Linked DNA regions of Arabidopsis thaliana. The protein of the gene in region 1 binds, or shares a complex with, the protein of each later gene. Each region holds a gene or a part of one and is shown in the gene's direction. Other genes may lie near its edges. The genes, in order: AT1G15770, AT5G02850, AT5G19480 and AT3G09180.

What was found.
Region 2: AT1G15770 (region 1) and AT5G02850 share a complex: the UniProt entries of both Arabidopsis thaliana proteins name them as parts of the mediator complex.
Region 3: AT1G15770 (region 1) and AT5G19480 share a complex: the UniProt entries of both Arabidopsis thaliana proteins name them as parts of the mediator complex.
Region 4: AT1G15770 (region 1) and AT3G09180 share a complex: the UniProt entries of both Arabidopsis thaliana proteins name them as parts of the mediator complex.

The regions. Positions count from the first base shown.
Region 1 is NC_003070.9:5,426,208-5,429,976, reverse strand, and holds AT1G15770 (mediator of RNA polymerase II transcription subunit), read left to right. Parts: upstream 1-1,696; 5' UTR 1,697-1,761; coding exon 1,762-1,848; intron 1,849-2,171; coding exon 2,172-2,681; intron 2,682-2,800; coding exon 2,801-3,085; 3' UTR 3,086-3,269; downstream 3,270-3,769. Other genes in the region: AT1G15772 (mediator of RNA polymerase II transcription subunit), read left to right, coding at 745-792, 885-959, 1,043-1,276; AT1G15760 (Sterile alpha motif (SAM) domain-containing protein), read right to left, coding at 3,655-3,769. UniProt on the Arabidopsis thaliana protein: Component of the Mediator complex, a coactivator involved in the regulated transcription of nearly all RNA polymerase II-dependent genes.
Region 2 is NC_003076.8:650,442-654,311, forward strand, and holds AT5G02850 (hydroxyproline-rich glycoprotein family protein), read left to right. Parts: upstream 1-1,606; 5' UTR 1,607-1,717; coding exon 1,718-2,998; 3' UTR 2,999-3,322; downstream 3,323-3,870. Other genes in the region: LCL1 (LHY/CCA1-like 1), read left to right, coding at 1-102, 420-479, 721-771; AT5G02860 (Pentatricopeptide repeat (PPR) superfamily protein), read left to right, coding at 3,661-3,870. UniProt on the Arabidopsis thaliana protein: Component of the Mediator complex, a coactivator involved in the regulated transcription of nearly all RNA polymerase II-dependent genes.
Region 3 is NC_003076.8:6,569,575-6,574,125, forward strand, and holds AT5G19480 (mediator of RNA polymerase II transcription subunit), read left to right. Parts: upstream 1-1,926; 5' UTR 1,927-2,253; coding exon 2,254-2,281; intron 2,282-2,369; coding exon 2,370-2,662; intron 2,663-2,810; coding exon 2,811-3,014; intron 3,015-3,123; coding exon 3,124-3,183; intron 3,184-3,316; coding exon 3,317-3,355; 3' UTR 3,356-4,049; downstream 4,050-4,551. Other genes in the region: AT5G19473 (RPM1-interacting protein 4 (RIN4) family protein), read left to right, coding at 1-200, 1,056-1,106; AT5G19485 (transferases/nucleotidyltransferase), read right to left, coding at 4,333-4,398, 4,492-4,551. UniProt on the Arabidopsis thaliana protein: Component of the Mediator complex, a coactivator involved in the regulated transcription of nearly all RNA polymerase II-dependent genes.
Region 4 is NC_003074.8:2,817,299-2,821,949, forward strand, and holds AT3G09180 (mediator of RNA polymerase II transcription subunit), read left to right. Parts: upstream 1-1,795; 5' UTR 1,796-1,979; coding exon 1,980-2,253; intron 2,254-2,347; coding exon 2,348-2,513; intron 2,514-2,685; coding exon 2,686-3,136; intron 3,137-3,226; coding exon 3,227-3,286; intron 3,287-3,369; coding exon 3,370-3,438; intron 3,439-3,531; coding exon 3,532-3,575; coding exon of another isoform or gene 3,576-3,594; exon of another isoform or gene 3,595-3,653; coding exon 3,654-3,798; 3' UTR 3,799-4,127; downstream 4,128-4,651. Other genes in the region: AT3G09190 (Concanavalin A-like lectin family protein), read right to left, coding at 4,352-4,651. UniProt on the Arabidopsis thaliana protein: Component of the Mediator complex, a coactivator involved in the regulated transcription of nearly all RNA polymerase II-dependent genes.

The DNA.
Region 1 (3,769 bases):
ATCATCATAAAGTCATCAAGTTAGAAGATACAAGGAGTGATCAGTGTGGTGTGTAATTGTCTATACAAATTAGTACATGAACGAGATTTATTTAGTTAATGACTATAATTAACATTTTGGTCACACAAATAGCCGGAGATTTCACTGGTTTTTCTACAAGTCTCTTTACTCGATTTTTAGCCTTTACTGTGTGAAATAGAAAACTTAAAAAAACTCCAAAAAACTTATTATTTGCAGAAGAGACTTGGGCCTGATAAGTACTTATTATTGGGTCATTGGGCCTCGCTTAATAACCTGATATTGTAATGTTGTTGAAGCCTTTTAATCCTTGTATTTAGCTCTCTCTTGTTTGTTTCTCTATAAAATCAAAAGATGATTAAAACAAAAACAATCATCTCTAATTCTTCTCCTTAACCCTAATTGCTACGTTTCACTTATTAAAAGAAAGATTGAAACGTAAGAACGTTTGGAGAAAAACCAAATCCAAACGGACCGTTCTAAGTCTCGGAGATTCATCGCCAAAAGGTCCTTATTTTGAGTCACCTATCTCATTACGTGTCATAGTAAACCCATGGATTCGTCGATAGCAAAACCTTTTGCATAAGAAACTAGTTTTATGGATTGATGATACTTGTGTACCTCTAATTTTAGGTTTTTGTATTTTTTTTTACACAGTTTCTGATGATGAATGAATCTCGCTTTTTAATTATTTTTCTTGGCTAGCAACACTAGATAGTAGATACAATGGAAAATGAAAATGGAGATGATTGGCGGGAGGAGGTTTTCCAAAAGGTAACTCATAAGTCATAATCATCATAATAATAAAACTCCTTTCTTAAATCATCATCGGGATCATTCATTGTGGTGTGTAATTGTTTATACAGCTTAGATCCATGAGAGAGCGTTATCTACCACATGTGACTGATGTTTACCAGAGACTTGCAGACAAGTTGAACCATGTAAGATGTAGTTACTGTCAACTATTAACTCTCTGCCTTAAGTTGTATAGATGTAGTAATACTAGTTTGTTTGTTTTTTTCAGGAGGAATCGCTTCCGCAGCAACAAAGATCAAAGCACTTTGACAAGTTCCAAAGCATGAAGACAAACATAGAGCAATTGATCCAAGTCCTATCTCTTCGAAAGAGAAATATCATGCCGATATTAAAGGATTGTAGATGGGACTATTATGAGAAACGGATTATATATTTCTTAATTACGCTAAGAACCGGCTGGGAAGACAGTACAGCAAAGGCAGCTTCAAGATCAGTCTCATAATAATCAAGGAAATGCATTGTAGATATTTTGTCTCTCTCTCTTTTTATGTTGGTCTTCTCTCTTCTGATGTGTTTTGAACTCTCATCCTCAATGTTGTTGACTCCGGTGCTCTGTTTCTACCAGGCTCCTCCTATCAAGTTATGATCGAAAAATGAATAAAGACCCTTTTTTTTTTTGTAAATGTTAATTTCTCGGAGATTAGGTGTGTTTTTGGTGGGTGCTTTAGTGTTCCGTCAACTAGTAGGGTAGGGTTTGGTTTCTTATTGAATTCATGCAGAATTCTTTTACCCATCAACAGAGATTAAAGCAATTTGAGAGATTGAAGGCAATGTTGGAGCGAAGAATGATACAATTCCTATCTGTTTCAAAGAAGCAATGTCATGCCTTACTTGAAAGATTACTACGACAACCAGATTATTCCTTTGTTACTAGCAGGATCATCTCTCTGTTACTAGATGATATCACCATGATGAGTAATCGTATGTATGATTATATTGCTTTTCTTTGTAGATCAAATCCATCAAAGAGACCTCAATGAAATCTACCAGAGAGTAGCAGCCAAGTTGCAGCAAGTAAGTTACAGTTTTCATTCTTCCTAGGAAGTTAGTTTGCACGTGTACGTCCTCTGGAACAGTACTAAGTACTTTATGAAGAGTTTTACAAATTCAATGCAAGATCAGTTCATTGTTACAAATGAAAGTCCTACAACTTAGGATTCTTGTTACCCATTTAACAAAGTAAAAGGTTCGTCAGACTCTTATACTTACAGATAGTTCACTAGAAGTTAACCTTCTGACAGATATATTCCTTCCCAAACCTACAGAGGTTGTAAACTTTTAACGTTCATCTATATGTTTGTTTCTTTTCTACTGAATACGTTCCGTTTTCTCTCTAGGAGGATTCTCTTTCGCATCAGAAACAAAGATCAGATCAGTTTGAGAAATTGAAACGAGGCAAGACAGTGTTGGAGGGAATGCTACGTTTCCTATCTCTTTCAAAGAGCAATATCAAACCTGACTTGAAGGATAGTATGGATTATCGCAAGAACAACATTATGAATTTCTTAAATATGCAGAGTCTGAGGAAGACAGTACAGAAACTGCAGCTTACGAAATCTGAGATTCAGCCTATGCAGCAACCACTATCTCAGACAGTTCAAGATCAGTCTCATGATGACCAAACAACTCTGCAGATGCAATCAATGAGCATGCAGGGTGCTGGGTCAAGGGTACAACAGATCAGGCAAGGTGTACTTCAATCCCTTGAAATTGGCACTCCAGGGATCTCTGCCTCTCCTCTCCTTCCGGAGCTTACCAGTCCTGATGGAAATATTATAAATCCTTTGACAAGTACTTGTGGAAAATCGAGTGCTACTGAGCTGCCTATTGAACGCCTTATTAGAGCCGTAAGTAACGTTACTAATTTTGAAGGGTATATTGCAACAGGGCAGTGTCATTGCTGCCATCCCTCATTTGCCGTGGAAACATTGTTCTGATCTTGATGTTTGCTTTCTGTTGTTTTCAGATGAAATCCATCTCACCACAAGCGCTTTCGTCTGCAGTATGTGATATTAGATCTGTTGTAAGCATGGTTGATAGGATTGCTGGTTCAGTACCAGGCAAAGGTTCAAGAGCTTCATTTGGTGTGGACTTGGTTGCAATGACTAAGTGCCATCTCCAAGAAAGAAACTTCATGACGCAAGATGGCGACCATGAAAAGGAAGCGTCAGACAACCCCAATGCCATCAAGTGTTGCTTCATTGGGAGGAAAGCGTTGGTAATAGCTACAAGCATTTTGCTGGTTTGGTAACATCAGATATGGAATCTACTGTGACTTGTGGTGGCAAGAAGCCAAGAACTGAGGTATGGTTTTCAGTTACACTTCCCTTAGGTATATCTGAAAATTGACACACACACAACAGATAAAATTTGGAAGCACAATGTTTTGTGTGCTCTAGTGTAGACTGTGTAGTGTCCTGAGCTCAAGATCTTTCCGATTACCTCAAGAGTAAGATCACTCCGGCAGGCTTAGCGTCATGGTTATGTGTGTAAACAGAGCATTTTTTGAGAAAAGAGTAAAAAGTGATAAAAGCTGTAAAGAAGTTTTGACTGGAACAGAGACTTAGGCCAAAAGCAAAGACTGGAGAGACAGACTCATTACAATGACCCCACACACTCACATACACACCTGACACCACCACTCAACTCTATTTTCCAATTGTTAACTAACAAAAATTAACTAGCCTAATCACATACAAAGACAAAATCAAGAAAACATGGTGGAAGAACCCTAAAACCTCATCTCTCACCATCAATTCTGATATAAAGAACGAAGAAGAAGCTGAAAGAGAAAACATAAAACAGAACTTAGAGATTTTTCTAAGTAGGTTTGAGATTCTGAAACATTGAATCCCATTTGATATCTTCAAAATAAGTATCTTGAGCGTAAAGTTTCTCATCCTTGAAACTGTAATCGAAAACCATGGGACTTGAG
Region 2 (3,870 bases), on another chromosome or scaffold:
GATTTTGCTGAGGTTTATAACTTCATTGGGAGTGTGTTCGATCCTGACAGCAAAGGCCGCATGAAAAAGCTCAAGGAAATGGATCCTATAAATTTCGAAACTGTGAGTTGGAGCTTTACTTGCCTTTAGATTAACTGATATGTGTGTTGCAGCATATCAATCATTTAGTCTTCTTCTTTGAGTTCCCGAATAAATTCAGCTGTGTGAGAAGATAAATATAAAGATCAGTACTTGCAATATATAGATTCACGAGTTGGAAACACCAAAAAGCCAAAGTACCATGATTCTATGGAGATGTTGGTCAAATAATGGGATTGTTACAACCATGAGTCAGTTTTAGGTGTCATGGTACCTATTTGTAGCTGTCAGTGATTGTTCTTTTTCCTAGTATCCGTCACTAATCACAGTTTTTCTTGCAGGTTTTGCTGTTGATGAGAAACCTCACAGTGAACTTGTCAAACCCTGACTTTGAACCTACTGTAAGTTATAATTTTATCATTACTTCTGTGCTCGTTGAGTATGTGAGGCACATTTGTCTTTTCGTGATAAGAATGAGTGAGAAAAAGTCTCTAACAGCTAACAAACCTACTTACTATCTGCCTTGAAGTTTAACTATAGAAATTAAGACTAGTTCGCCTTTAGTGTGTTATGTTTTTAACCGTTCCAATGATTAAATGAGGATTGTTGTGCTCTATGAGATATAATCTAACCATAATTTAGTCTGAATATGTTGATGCTGCAGAGGAAGGTCATGAACACTTAAGCTCTTAGCTGTTTGTGCACTCAACAAGTTATATATCTTCTTGACGACTTCTTGCTCGCAACAACTCTCTACCAGCTATCAAGTAAGTTTGGTGTTATACCGCATCCCTCCGACACCAATATAAAACACTATAATAAGAACGTTCGCATTGACTTAATAGATTATATCGAAACCTAACACCACAGTTCACTAAGGTTTTCACCTTAATGTTTCTCATTTGTTACTGTAGTTATTGTCTCACATGATCGAACGTCATAATAAGAATGATCTGTAGATCATAACTGTTATATTCTCAGCGTTGCTGCTATTATTCTGATTACACTACCCTTAAGGTCTTAAGAATATTGCTCTTACGGTCTACCAAATTGCTATTGATCTCTGTATATGGTGGATTGTGTCAGATGCATTCTACGGTTGTTGTCTGAGGAGAACATAACTGAGTCGTCGTCACAAACAAGAGGAACATATGCAGTTTCGGTCAGAACCAGTCGTGTGAATGGTAGATATATGTATGTGTGTGTAGAAAATGGTTACCAATTGTATCTTCTTTTTGATAATTATTTTTTCATGCCTTTTGTAATATGTAAGTTTCTTTACCTCGTTCTCTGATTGGTTATTTTCTGGTTATCTGTTTAACCAAAAGCTATGTAACACAGTAGCAAATTGTTACTTAACTCGGAAGTGAGATACATAACTCTGTTGTATTGCACTTGTATCAAGCGTTAACGTCCATGATTCGTCTCTGTTATTGTCAATAACAATTGTTCGAAAGCCAGGTTAATGGTAATTAGGAAATTGAACCGTATCGGTATGGTTTTAGCGGGTCTTTAGACTTTTCTAATTGATACTGAGGGTTTGCGAATTTTGTATAAACAGTTGAACACTAAACAGAGAAGAGAAGCTTCGTCTCTTTAATTATCTTCGATTTAAGAGATTCTTTCGCCGTCGGCGAAGATGCTACAGCATCAGATCGTACAATCTCCGGCGAGATTAGGGTTAACAGGTCCTGGCTCTCCTTCCGTACAAAATCCGACGCCTACTCGTCATGGCCATCCAACCTCTTCTTCATCTTCCCAATCTCAGCACCAACAGATCCAACAACAGCCTAATCTACTTCCTTCCTCCACCGTCGCCGCCGCTTCCTCAGCCTCAGCTTCGGCGGCTGTTTCATCCTCCGCCTTGCTATCGCTCCTTCCTCCATTACCGCGAGCTCAAGCTCTTCTCCAGCAGATGGCGGTTTTGACATCTAAGCTCTTCGACGTCTCTCCCAATCGAGCTATCTGGCTCTCAGCTTTCCGTGGCTCTCTCCCTTCGTTCCTCTCCTCACACTCGTTACCACCTCCGCCGCCGCTTGAAAACCCTAGTCCTTCATCCACGAAGGAGATCCTCTCTCAATTCAATTCCCTCCAGACTCAGCTCTTCGAAGCCGTTACAGAGCTTCAAGAGATCCTCGATCTGCAAGACGCGAAGCAGAAGGTGGCGCGTGAGATCAAATCCAAAGATTCATCTCTTCTCGCTTTCGCTAACAAACTCAAGGATGCAGAACGTGTTCTCGATATGCTTGTTGACGACTACTCCGATTACCGCAAACCAAAACGAAGCAAAATTGAAGAAGATGACGAAGACAATGATAATGAGTCTTCTTCTTCTTCAACCACAGTTTCGTCTCAGCTCAAGTTAAAGGACATATTAGCTTACGCTCACAAGATTAGCTACACCACATTTGCTCCGCCGGAATTCGGTGCAGGGCAAGCACCTCTCCGTGGTGCATTACCACCAGCTCCACAAGACGAACAAATGAGAGCTTCCCAGCTCTACACTTTCGCTGATCTTGATATCGGTCTGCCGAAAACAGTAGAAAACATGGAGAAGAAGGTTGAAGCACTGATTGAGCCACCACCACCACCAGAAGCTATGGATATATCTGCTATTCACAACCTGCTTCCGCCGAATATCGCAGTTCCTTCAGGATGGAAACCAGGAATGCCAGTCGAATTGCCTAGAGATTTACCATTGCCACCTCCTGGATGGAAACCAGGCGACCCAGTTGTGTTACCGCCACTGGAGTCAATTGCTGCACCTAGAGCAGAGGATCATCAACATATGAGACCTTCTCAGGGACTCCACAGACCGCCTGATGTCATACAGGTCCGAGCTGTTCAACTTGACATTTTGGAGGATGATGATAGCAGTGATTACAGCAGCGATGATGCAAGCTCAGATGATGAGGATTAATCAACATTGTGATTGATGGTTCTCTGTAAGGTAATGATTTGACCAATGTTACTGCTAATTCTTGATCAAGTTTGATTTTCTACTTGGTTTCGTTTTGTTTAGCAGTGCCTTTATGTGGATAGATGTTAGTATATGCTTCATCGTTATCAGTATCTTTGATGTATCAAAGTTGTTTCTTACGAAAACCCTGGATTCTAATTCAGTTTACAGAATTATTGGTTATCTTTTTTCCAGAATCATTCTTTAGCTTCAAATTTCAAATTATTAGTAAAATTCAGAATGTTCAACTATTGGAGTTATGCAACTTGACATTTTGGATCGATCTCTCTATACGACAAAGTAAAATCCCTCTTAGGTCATACATACATATCAGAGGCTCTTTCTGCCCATTTCTTTATTGTACAGTTTATTGTTCCATTTGGGCTTCTAATAATATAATGGGTTGACAAAATAAGTAGTAGCCCATTTAGATCTAACCTGTTGAATCTGGACTAGCCACGTGGTCGAATATAATTGTAGGGAAATAAAACTAAAATTGTGTTCTTGGAACAAAAAAATATAATAAAAAAAATCTGACAAAAATATCCATTCATTTCTCTTCTTCTTTCACTCTCGGTTGCCTCCTGGTTCTTTTCTAGTTTCTACTACTACTACTACCTCTAATGGCGGACAAGCTAGCTCTTCCTCTTCTCCTTCCCTGCACTCCTTCCTCTAAACCTTATTCTCACGACCAAAACCACCATATCTCTCGGACGCCTTTTCTTACTACGTCTCTTTCGTCACCACCTCCTCCGCCTGTAGAGCCTCTCCTCCACGATGTTTTCCTTCACCAGAACCCTAATTCCAGACAACCCATCAGCTCTCAAACATCT
Region 3 (4,551 bases), on another chromosome or scaffold:
GAGGGTGGGACCAAAAAGGACCAAATGATGCTACAAACTACTCGGTTGTCTTTTCTAAAGCTCGCGCAAACAGGAAGCAGAACAAAGCTGGTGTAAGACATTCTAGTTTGGGAAGCGAACAAGAACTCATGGTAAGTGTTCGTCGCAACCACCAACAACTTCACCATCGCCATGAAACTCAAGACGATGACCCTGTCATGGTAATTAAATTATCTCTCTCTACTTACTCTTCCATGGATTCTTTGGTTCATATTCACCTTGTGATGATCCTTTTCCCCTTAGTCAACGCGCATGGATCATCACAAGGTGGTATAACAATTCAGGAATTGATTTTCTCTTTGCGTCTTTTGTTTGTTTTGTGTTTTTGCATGCGCCTAAAAAGAATATTTCATTCCATTTCTTTCTTAACTCAGAGACATAATTGAACCATGAATGTTATTCAACTTAATTATGAGTTAATACATGCATCATAGTATCAGGTCTCATTTATGAATATGTAATGATAGTGTATCTTTAAATTTGATGTTATAGTGTATTGGCTTGCAGTTTGTTTCCATGGTTTTGAAATGATGTGTTTTGTTCGAACAATGAATTTATAGTTCGTTTCCATTTTCCCATTTTCTACTTTCTTTTTATTTGTTAGGAAAACTTTGTTTTTTTTTTTGCATTTTTTCCATAACATTTCAATAAGCAACCATATTTTAACATTATATTCCCACCTAAGCTAAATTTCATTACTTCTATTGTTAGATAAAAATATAATTAAACCAACTAAAAGTCTGAATCATATTATAATCTTTGCATTATGTTTTAACTATATGTTGGGAGTTACATAAATTTGTTTTGCTTGGAGCCTCCAAACTTTGAAGAGGCAAACATGAACGAAATGTACACTGCTTTTCTAGAGCGAATATGAAAACTCCATCTCTAGTTTGTATAACAGTCGAAATCACCTTGTTATACGAAGCATTATGCAATATGTGAAATGTATTAAGAGGAAGCATGTTGTCACCGTCATAAGTCTCTCTAACATTACTAATTTAATTACCATGCAGAAGAAGAAGAGGATCTTGACCTACATTAATTGTTGTATAAGGCCAAACTAGGGCTTTGTTCTTCTACAAAGTCGGAATCTTTCTCTCTTCAGCGATATAGCAAATATGTCTCAAGTGTGTAAAGACAGTAGTGTAACGTTTCTGTAATCTTCTTTATCACACACAAAAAAAAAAAACGTTCTGTTCTATGTGCATCATCTATTAAGATACCCCTGGTTGTGTTGTGTTGTGATACATTTTGACTTCTTCCTACATCATACGAGAACAAAATAAAACATGACTTAACCAAACCGTCAGATGCAGAATCCATTTAACTAATCTTCGATAAATTGAGAATTGTCGGATGATCATAGTTTTAGAAACAAGAGTTAAGAAATCATGCATTGATTGCTGGTACGATTTGGCCATTTGGGTGATTTTAGCTTTGGTTAATCATTCTCCAACTTCAATATAAAGGATCCGAACAATAGCAATGACTAAACGAATCACTTTTTGGCCTTAGCAAATTGGTCTTAATTATTTGGCCACAAATACACATACATATGACCATATGAAAAACAGTGGCTATCTTGCAACTGAGTGCCACCACCTAATCGTGGCCATATCCACTAACAAGTTGACCACCGTCTTAATCGGTGGCTATTGACGATTGCAACAAAAATTATTTGACGGCTATATTAGCATTTTTTTTTTTTTTTAACTATGTGATTAAAAATGCAAATTATAAGAAAATTGAAATTTTTATTAAAATAAAAATACAAATGTAAAAAAAGTCGTTGTGAAATCTGTAAAGTTGATCATACGCACTATGAAGCGCGTGAACCCCACGCGGTAACCCGTATAAATAACAAAATTTTGGACGAAAAAAAAACAGAAGAAGAAGAAAAAGAAATCGCGATTTTATAACGCCATTGTTTGAGGAAACTCCTAATCCATTCTCAAACCCTAGTTACTTCCTTCTCGAACGTTCCTCGATATTCCCGCGGGAAATTCACGACCAAGAGCAATCCGTTTTCCAGATTAGGGTTTATATCTCTGGGTTGCGATGAGATCTGCCTCGTGAAGTCATGTATGGCGGTGATTGATCTTTGCTTCAGCTTTGTTTTCGCTTTTCGTCAAATCTTGAGCTTATTGAGCTTTGGCTTGTTTGGTTTTCAAATTCCAATAATTGCAGTTTAATCAACAACAACAAAAAAATATGGAATCAGAGAGCGTTAAGTTTGGAGGTAAATTTGGTTTCCAAGCTTTGATTTTTGTCAAGTTTTATTATTTTGGGATTTGAGGGTCAATGAGCTTCTGGGTTTCTAAGTGCAGGTCCTAGAGAATTGGGTGGTGCACTAGATCTTATAACACAATACAAGTTGTTGCCACACCATGAATTCTTTTGCAAGAGATCACTTCCAGAGTCACTGTCAGATGCTCATTATCTTCATAATTTGGTTGGAGACACAGAGATTAGAAAAGGAGAAGGAATGCAATTAGATCAGCTTATTCCTAATGCATCACTTAGTAGCCGAGATACGAATGCTCGCATCCAACCTTTTGTTCTTGATGAACTTAAGGAGGCTTTTGAGCTTAATGATACAGCTCCTGTTGAATTGCCTCCAGTAAGAATATTGCTCTCTCTGTTTAGATTTTAACTTCCTGTAACATCTAGATCTTTTACTAACCATGATAAGTTGAATTACTTCCAAGTATCTTGTGATGATAGTTGAGCTAGGTTTGAGAATATGAGATCTCCTGTTCTTATTTCAGGCAGAGAAGGGAGCTCCTACCACTGTATCAAAATCAAAAAGTGAGTCAAAAGATAAGGATAGGAAACATAGAAAACATAAAGACAAGAAGGAGAAAGATAGGGAACATAAGAAGCACAAGCACAAGCATAAAGATAGGATCAAAGATAAGGATAAAGACAAGGATCGAGACAAAAAGAAGGAAAAAAGTGGACACCATGATAAGGTTATAAAACTGTCTGCTCTTGTTGGTACCTAGGCCGTCTATATATGTATATTTTGGATTCTTAAATTCGATAGAATTGACGTGGTATACGCTATCACTTTACTTTCAGAAAAGGAAGAACAATGGGACTGAAGATGCTGATGACGTTCAGAGGCACAAAAAGAGTAAGGTAATATACTAATGGCAATGGAGGCATCTCCTTCTTTTTAGTGAAGCTGAATTTAGAAGTTTCTGGTTACTCGCACATTGGTGTTGCTCTGCAAATTTTATTTTTGTCGGCCCTAAAATTAACTTTTTTGCAGCATAAGAGCTCAAAGCTTGATGAGATGGGAGCGATGTAGGTTGGAGGCTGAAGCCGTGCACACTTTCATTTTTGTATTGCACACCCAAGGTGTCATGGAGAGGCTTAGAAGCAGCTAACTTTGTTAGGTAACTCGGTCACTAGAGTCATCTTCTCATCTTTAGATAACGCACGTTTCTCATATGGGGCTGCGTCTGTCATAACCAACGGTACTGTACATGATGAATATGATTGAGTCAACAAAGCTATGGTTGTTTTAAACATGAAGAAATAATTATTGTCTAAGGCTTATAAGAAGATAACCTGGAACTCTAGCGACCGAGAGTGCACTAACTTTATTTTGGAGTCTCAAATAATTAGAAATGTTTCTATATGGTGTAGATTTGTCTCAACATAACATAAAATGATTTGGATTTGGTTTTGCAGGTTTAATCTCTAAATAAAAATTGCATTGTGGGAGAAGTTAGGAGGGGTTAAGCAACGAAAAGTTCGCCAAGAAGAATCACAACTTGTACATTTTGTTACACTTTAAACAAGCTATGAAGTTTATCTATTCTCGTGACTATTTAAACAGAAAGGTTTCATACATTCGAAATCATTTACTCTGAAATTTATCGAATCTGAAGGCATGTGACTTTTTGGGTGTATTCGTCTCTATGGAAATACCAAAAACAAAATTTAGATCTTTCAGGAAAGTGTTTTATCTCGAACAAAAGAGTAAATAATGAGAAGAACAAAAAAAGACATATGTAATATAACCAACGGAACAGAGAGAAGGGTCAGTGGCTGACAAAGTGTTTCAAGACTTCATGTATATGTAATGAATAGCAAAAGATCAAACTCTATCAGTAAAAGATACTAACGGAAAATCTCAAACTCTTAATCAACAAAACCCTTAGTGGGAAACTTTCCAATCCTTCACACTCTTCTCTCCTACCAAACGAATGACTAAGTAATGCTGCTTTTCATTTTAAAAAAGCGTTCCAAGATGTGACCTCATTTGCTTATCCTTCCTTTTCATTTTCTAGCAAAGGTCTCTCCTTTGTGCTCACTCCCGGCACAAACAACATACCCTGCTTCCACCTATAAAACCAATTGATGTTTTGATTATGGAATCTGTAAAAGCATTGATACGTAGGGGACACTGTATTATGAAAACTGAAGGGGGTAACGTACTTGGCAGTCTCTTAGAGTAACACGCTCTTGAAGCTGTGCGTTGCTGCAAATGACTGAGCC
Region 4 (4,651 bases), on another chromosome or scaffold:
CTTCCCCATAGATAGCTTCCCAACAATCCATTGTGAAGTAGGCTTTCTCTCTTTCCCAAATAATGCCTTGTAGAACCTCGTAGGATTCTGAACCGCTTTCATTTTCCCTCTTGTCCTTGCATCCTTTTTGTTGAATCCAGATTTGCTGCAGTTAAGCCCGGTAACAAGTGCAAAATCATCAATGGCAAATCGAATTGGCTTCCCTGCAAACACCCACCACATTTCATACTTCTTATCTGTCACCAACTGCCTAGATAGAATGTAATGTAAGAACATTACAGAAAACTGATGCGTCCCCATTTGCAACAGAAATCCAAACTGCGAACCCTCCAGCTGCTTCAAATGGTTTTGATCTAGAGCAGCCTTGATGATCTCAATCCACCTAAGAGTAAAGTAATTGTTTATCCTCTTTCGGCCCTCAGGTTCAGAACCTAGCCGAAACAAACGCTTTGGCAACTCTACATCCCCCATGGAACAGATACACTGAAATACAAATGTCCACGTATCACTTTTTTGATGCTGCTACTTACACAAATACAAAATATATAAATCTTAGATGTAAATATATGTTATTAACAGACTCAACCAATATAGCCTCAGCTTTCCGTTACTATCAACAACAACAAATGGATTACATAGAAGTTGAGTTAAATATTAAACCTTCATAACACCAATTAGTGGAATATCGGATTAACCAGCAAAGATTCACTAACTAAAGCTACTCAAATCCGAGTTTATGCTATTCAATACTGCAAATAAAACTAAAAATGTCATTAACACATACAACCAATTTGAGTAGCTTCCGTTACTATCAACAAACACAAATGGATTACATTGAAGTAGAGTTAAATCCTAAACCTTCATAACAATTACAAATGAATATCGTATTAACCAAGCAGATTCCCTACCTAAAGCTACTCAAATCCGAGTTTATGCTATTCAAGCTCTTCAACACAAATTAAAAAGATTTTCCCAAAAGCCAAAAAATGGCATTTCATACCTTAATTTGGCTGAATCCCTTCGCCGACACCAATTGCCACAGAAATTCGAGTGTTACAGTGGAGACGACGGAGATATAAACACCTCTACTCCCGTACAACAAAACTCACTCAAGTACTCTCAACGGAATCAAAAACCCTCGATTGAGAAAAGAGCCAACATAAGTGTTGTACGAAACTCGGATGCTTAGATAGGCTCCTCCTCCAATTGCAGAAGATTTATGCAGTCCGATTGCCAGAAATCGAAGCCTCCACAGTCCCCAAATCGAAACCCACAAATTCAATCTTCGTAAACTCTAGAATCGTCACTCGGATTGCACACGCAGTCTGCTCTTCGAAACTTTCCCGGGTGTCGCTTTTTAAAGCCCAGAATTTTCAGATTTTCTTACTGTAACTTCTCTGAATGTTCACCTCTATTTGAATTTTTACAGAGTAATACATAGAAGTTATCGATTGAAAACTCAGAAGAAGAAGAATAAGCGCGTGTGCTCACGCACGGGTTAAGTTTGTCAATATTGCATAAAGTTCAATACATATTGGTTGAAGTGTTAGTTTTGCAATTATAATTTTTTTGTTGGCTATATTTGCAAATTTCCCATTTTTTTACATGTACAAACTAAAAAAAAAAAAATATTAAAGTGAACAAACTGTACATATGGGCTAAAAACTAAAAGTCCCACAAACATTGAGATTACAAAATACATTTTCAGTCCAACATGAGCCATAAAGCATTGCTTAATGGAGTAAAACTCAATTTAACAGAGTGGAATAAATTAAACAAAATAAGACGTGAAGGAGCAGAAGCAAGCATATCAACAAAAACGCCTTTGAAACGCAAACGCTACAAAATTGCGTCTGGCGTTACAGTAGATTGAGATTTGAACGTGAAATTCTCCGAGTCCAGAAACATTCCTCTCCTTCCGTCGTCGTCAAGAAGATCAATTTCATTGAAATCGAAAGAGTGTGCTTGAATCACAGCTTATGCAGACGCTACACCAGTCCCAACTTCTCCAGAATCCGGCCGAGGCGGCGAACAATCAGTCTGAATCGGACGCGCCGCCGAAACAGGTGGCTCAGGCCATGGAACGACTCAATCAAGCGGCTAGGGTTATCGCCGATATCCGCCTCGGCGCTGACCGTATCCTTGAAGCTATGTTCGTGGCTTCGCAACCTCGTCACACAGACATGCCTCTTCAGCTCTTTCTCAGAGAAGACGCCTCCATGCGTCAACATCTTCAGGATCTTCGCTTAATAGGTGCTGAACCAAAACTGAATCATTTTCATTAGTATTGATTGATTCTCTAGATTAGGGCTTTTAAGGATCGATCAATGTTTATTGCTTGGTTCAGGGAAGAAATTGGAAGAATCTGGAGTGTTAACTGAATCACTTAGGTCAAGAAGTAACTCTTGGGGTCTTCACATGCCTTTGGTTTGTCCAGATGGTGCAGTCGTTGCTTATGCTTGGAAAAGACAGCTTGCTGGCCAAGCTGGTGCTTCTGCTGTTGATAGAACCAGGTATCAGATTCGTTGCTAATCATTTTAAAGCATACTTAGGGTTTAGGTTCGAGTCTGCATATTAGGGCTGTTAGTGAAGCTTGGTGGTACCAACTTGGAGTTTCATCAGCTAACCAATTCTACTGAATCTCATGCATTCTCCATTTTCTCGCGTTGTGTATAATGACTGTAGGTTAGCTCTCAAGGCCTTCACGGATCAGAAAAGACGATTCTTCCCTCATATTGATGATGGATTAAAGATGGAACCAAGCTCAAAAAAACATCGTGCCTCCCATTTGCTATTAGAAAATGGAAGAGAGGAGCCGGTTGATTACAAAACATTGCCAGATATACAATCGCGTTTAGAGAAGCTGGTTCCGAGTGTGAAGGTGTCTACTTATGGACGATTGAACTGGCTTAAAAGAGCTAACTCTTTACCTGGGTCAGGTAGTGATGATCCTACAGAAGCATCGAAACCTATTTTCCAGAGTTCTAGCAAGCTGAGATCAGGGTTACAGACTGAAGTTGTCGACAAGATTGCTGTTATTGAGTTATCATTTCCTTCTCTATTCAGAGCTATAGTCTCGTTGAGTCCAGCGGGTTCTGTTGATCCAGATGCAGTTGCTTTCTTCTCCCCAGATGAGGTCACTTCCAACCTCCTTGCATTAAAATATACTGATTCTCATGTGAAATTGTTTAAGTTCTCATGTTTTAGCTTCATCCCTTTCTTACAGGGAGGCAGCTACTTACATGCGAGAGGCTTCTCGGTTTATCATGTTTACAAACACATAACGGTAATAAAGATGCGATTGATATTATATATAGTTTAACAAATTTGATTCATTGGGGACTTGCATTAATTAGATTTTTCTTGCAGGAACATGCTGCTACAGCCTTGCAATATTTCCTCGGCTTTGGTACTGGAACAGCTCTCTACTCTCTTCTGGTAAAGCATTTTACAAGCACACTTCAGTCTCTGGATAACATGAACCTTTTTTGTCTGGAAGTTAATTAACACCTTTCTCTTCTTCTTATGCAGCTATGGATATGCAGTTTTGAATCCGTATTTAGCAAACCTTGCACGTATGCAGACTCTCCGTAATTCTTCTAATACATTTGTTTCCCGTGGACTAACTTTTCATTTCTCTTCTGATGATGCAGTAAATGTGGAAGGCTATTAGCAATGGATAAAAAGTCTGCGTTAATCTTACCTCCTTTACACCGCGCTTACCAAGAATTGCCTCTTGCATTAAACCTGGACGTTTGTGAAGCTTACCACTCCAGTTGCTCTCAAGATGATACCTAGTACTCTAGTGATTAGGGAGGATCAATTAAAAGAAAGGTTAGAAATAAGTTCTAATAACATTTTGTATGGATCTTTAGTATCTGCTCTTCTCCTTGATATACCTCTTGTTTGTTGTTGATGTCCCATGTTGAGGTTTAGATTAACTTTCTTTCTTTCTACTCTCTGGTAACATGTGAATGTTGTCTTCTTTCTAGAGATTTGATCTTTGTTCACGAGATGACTGAACAGAGACCTTTTTTTTTAACTCGGTTCACATTACTCTGTTGCAGTCAGCATCAAAGTGAGAAAAAGACAGTGGGTGTTGATTTTTGCTTCCGATCCAGAAATATAAAACATGTTAAATGCAAGATCAATAAATTAAGTTATTTTGCAAGATCAAATAAGCTTACGGCTTCTTTCATAGAGATTGTACATGTGAAACCTGCAACTAACGAAGCAAATAAAAGAAAACACTAAATAAAGATAACACCAGAGGAAGTGGAAGAAGGTACTACATTTACACTACAACAAGACAACCTTCTTAAACCAAAGCCAAAGCCAAACAAACTTCTCATTACTTCTTGCCATCTTTAACTGCAACGACCACAATGCTCACTGCACATTCCTCTGGAACCACGGCCATTGACCGCCTAACACTGCAAATAGTCCAAAGATACATAGCTGACATTGCCCCTACGGCTCCACATACTGCAGCCAAGACCAGAGCACCAAGCATTCTCCATATACACTCACTATTTTCTCGGCCCTCTTCCATTTCCGTGGAAACGTCCGGCTTCAAACCTTCATTTGGTCCTAATGGCGCTGGTTGCACCCATATCGGATCAAGATGCCATATTTCAAAGCTCCATGAATG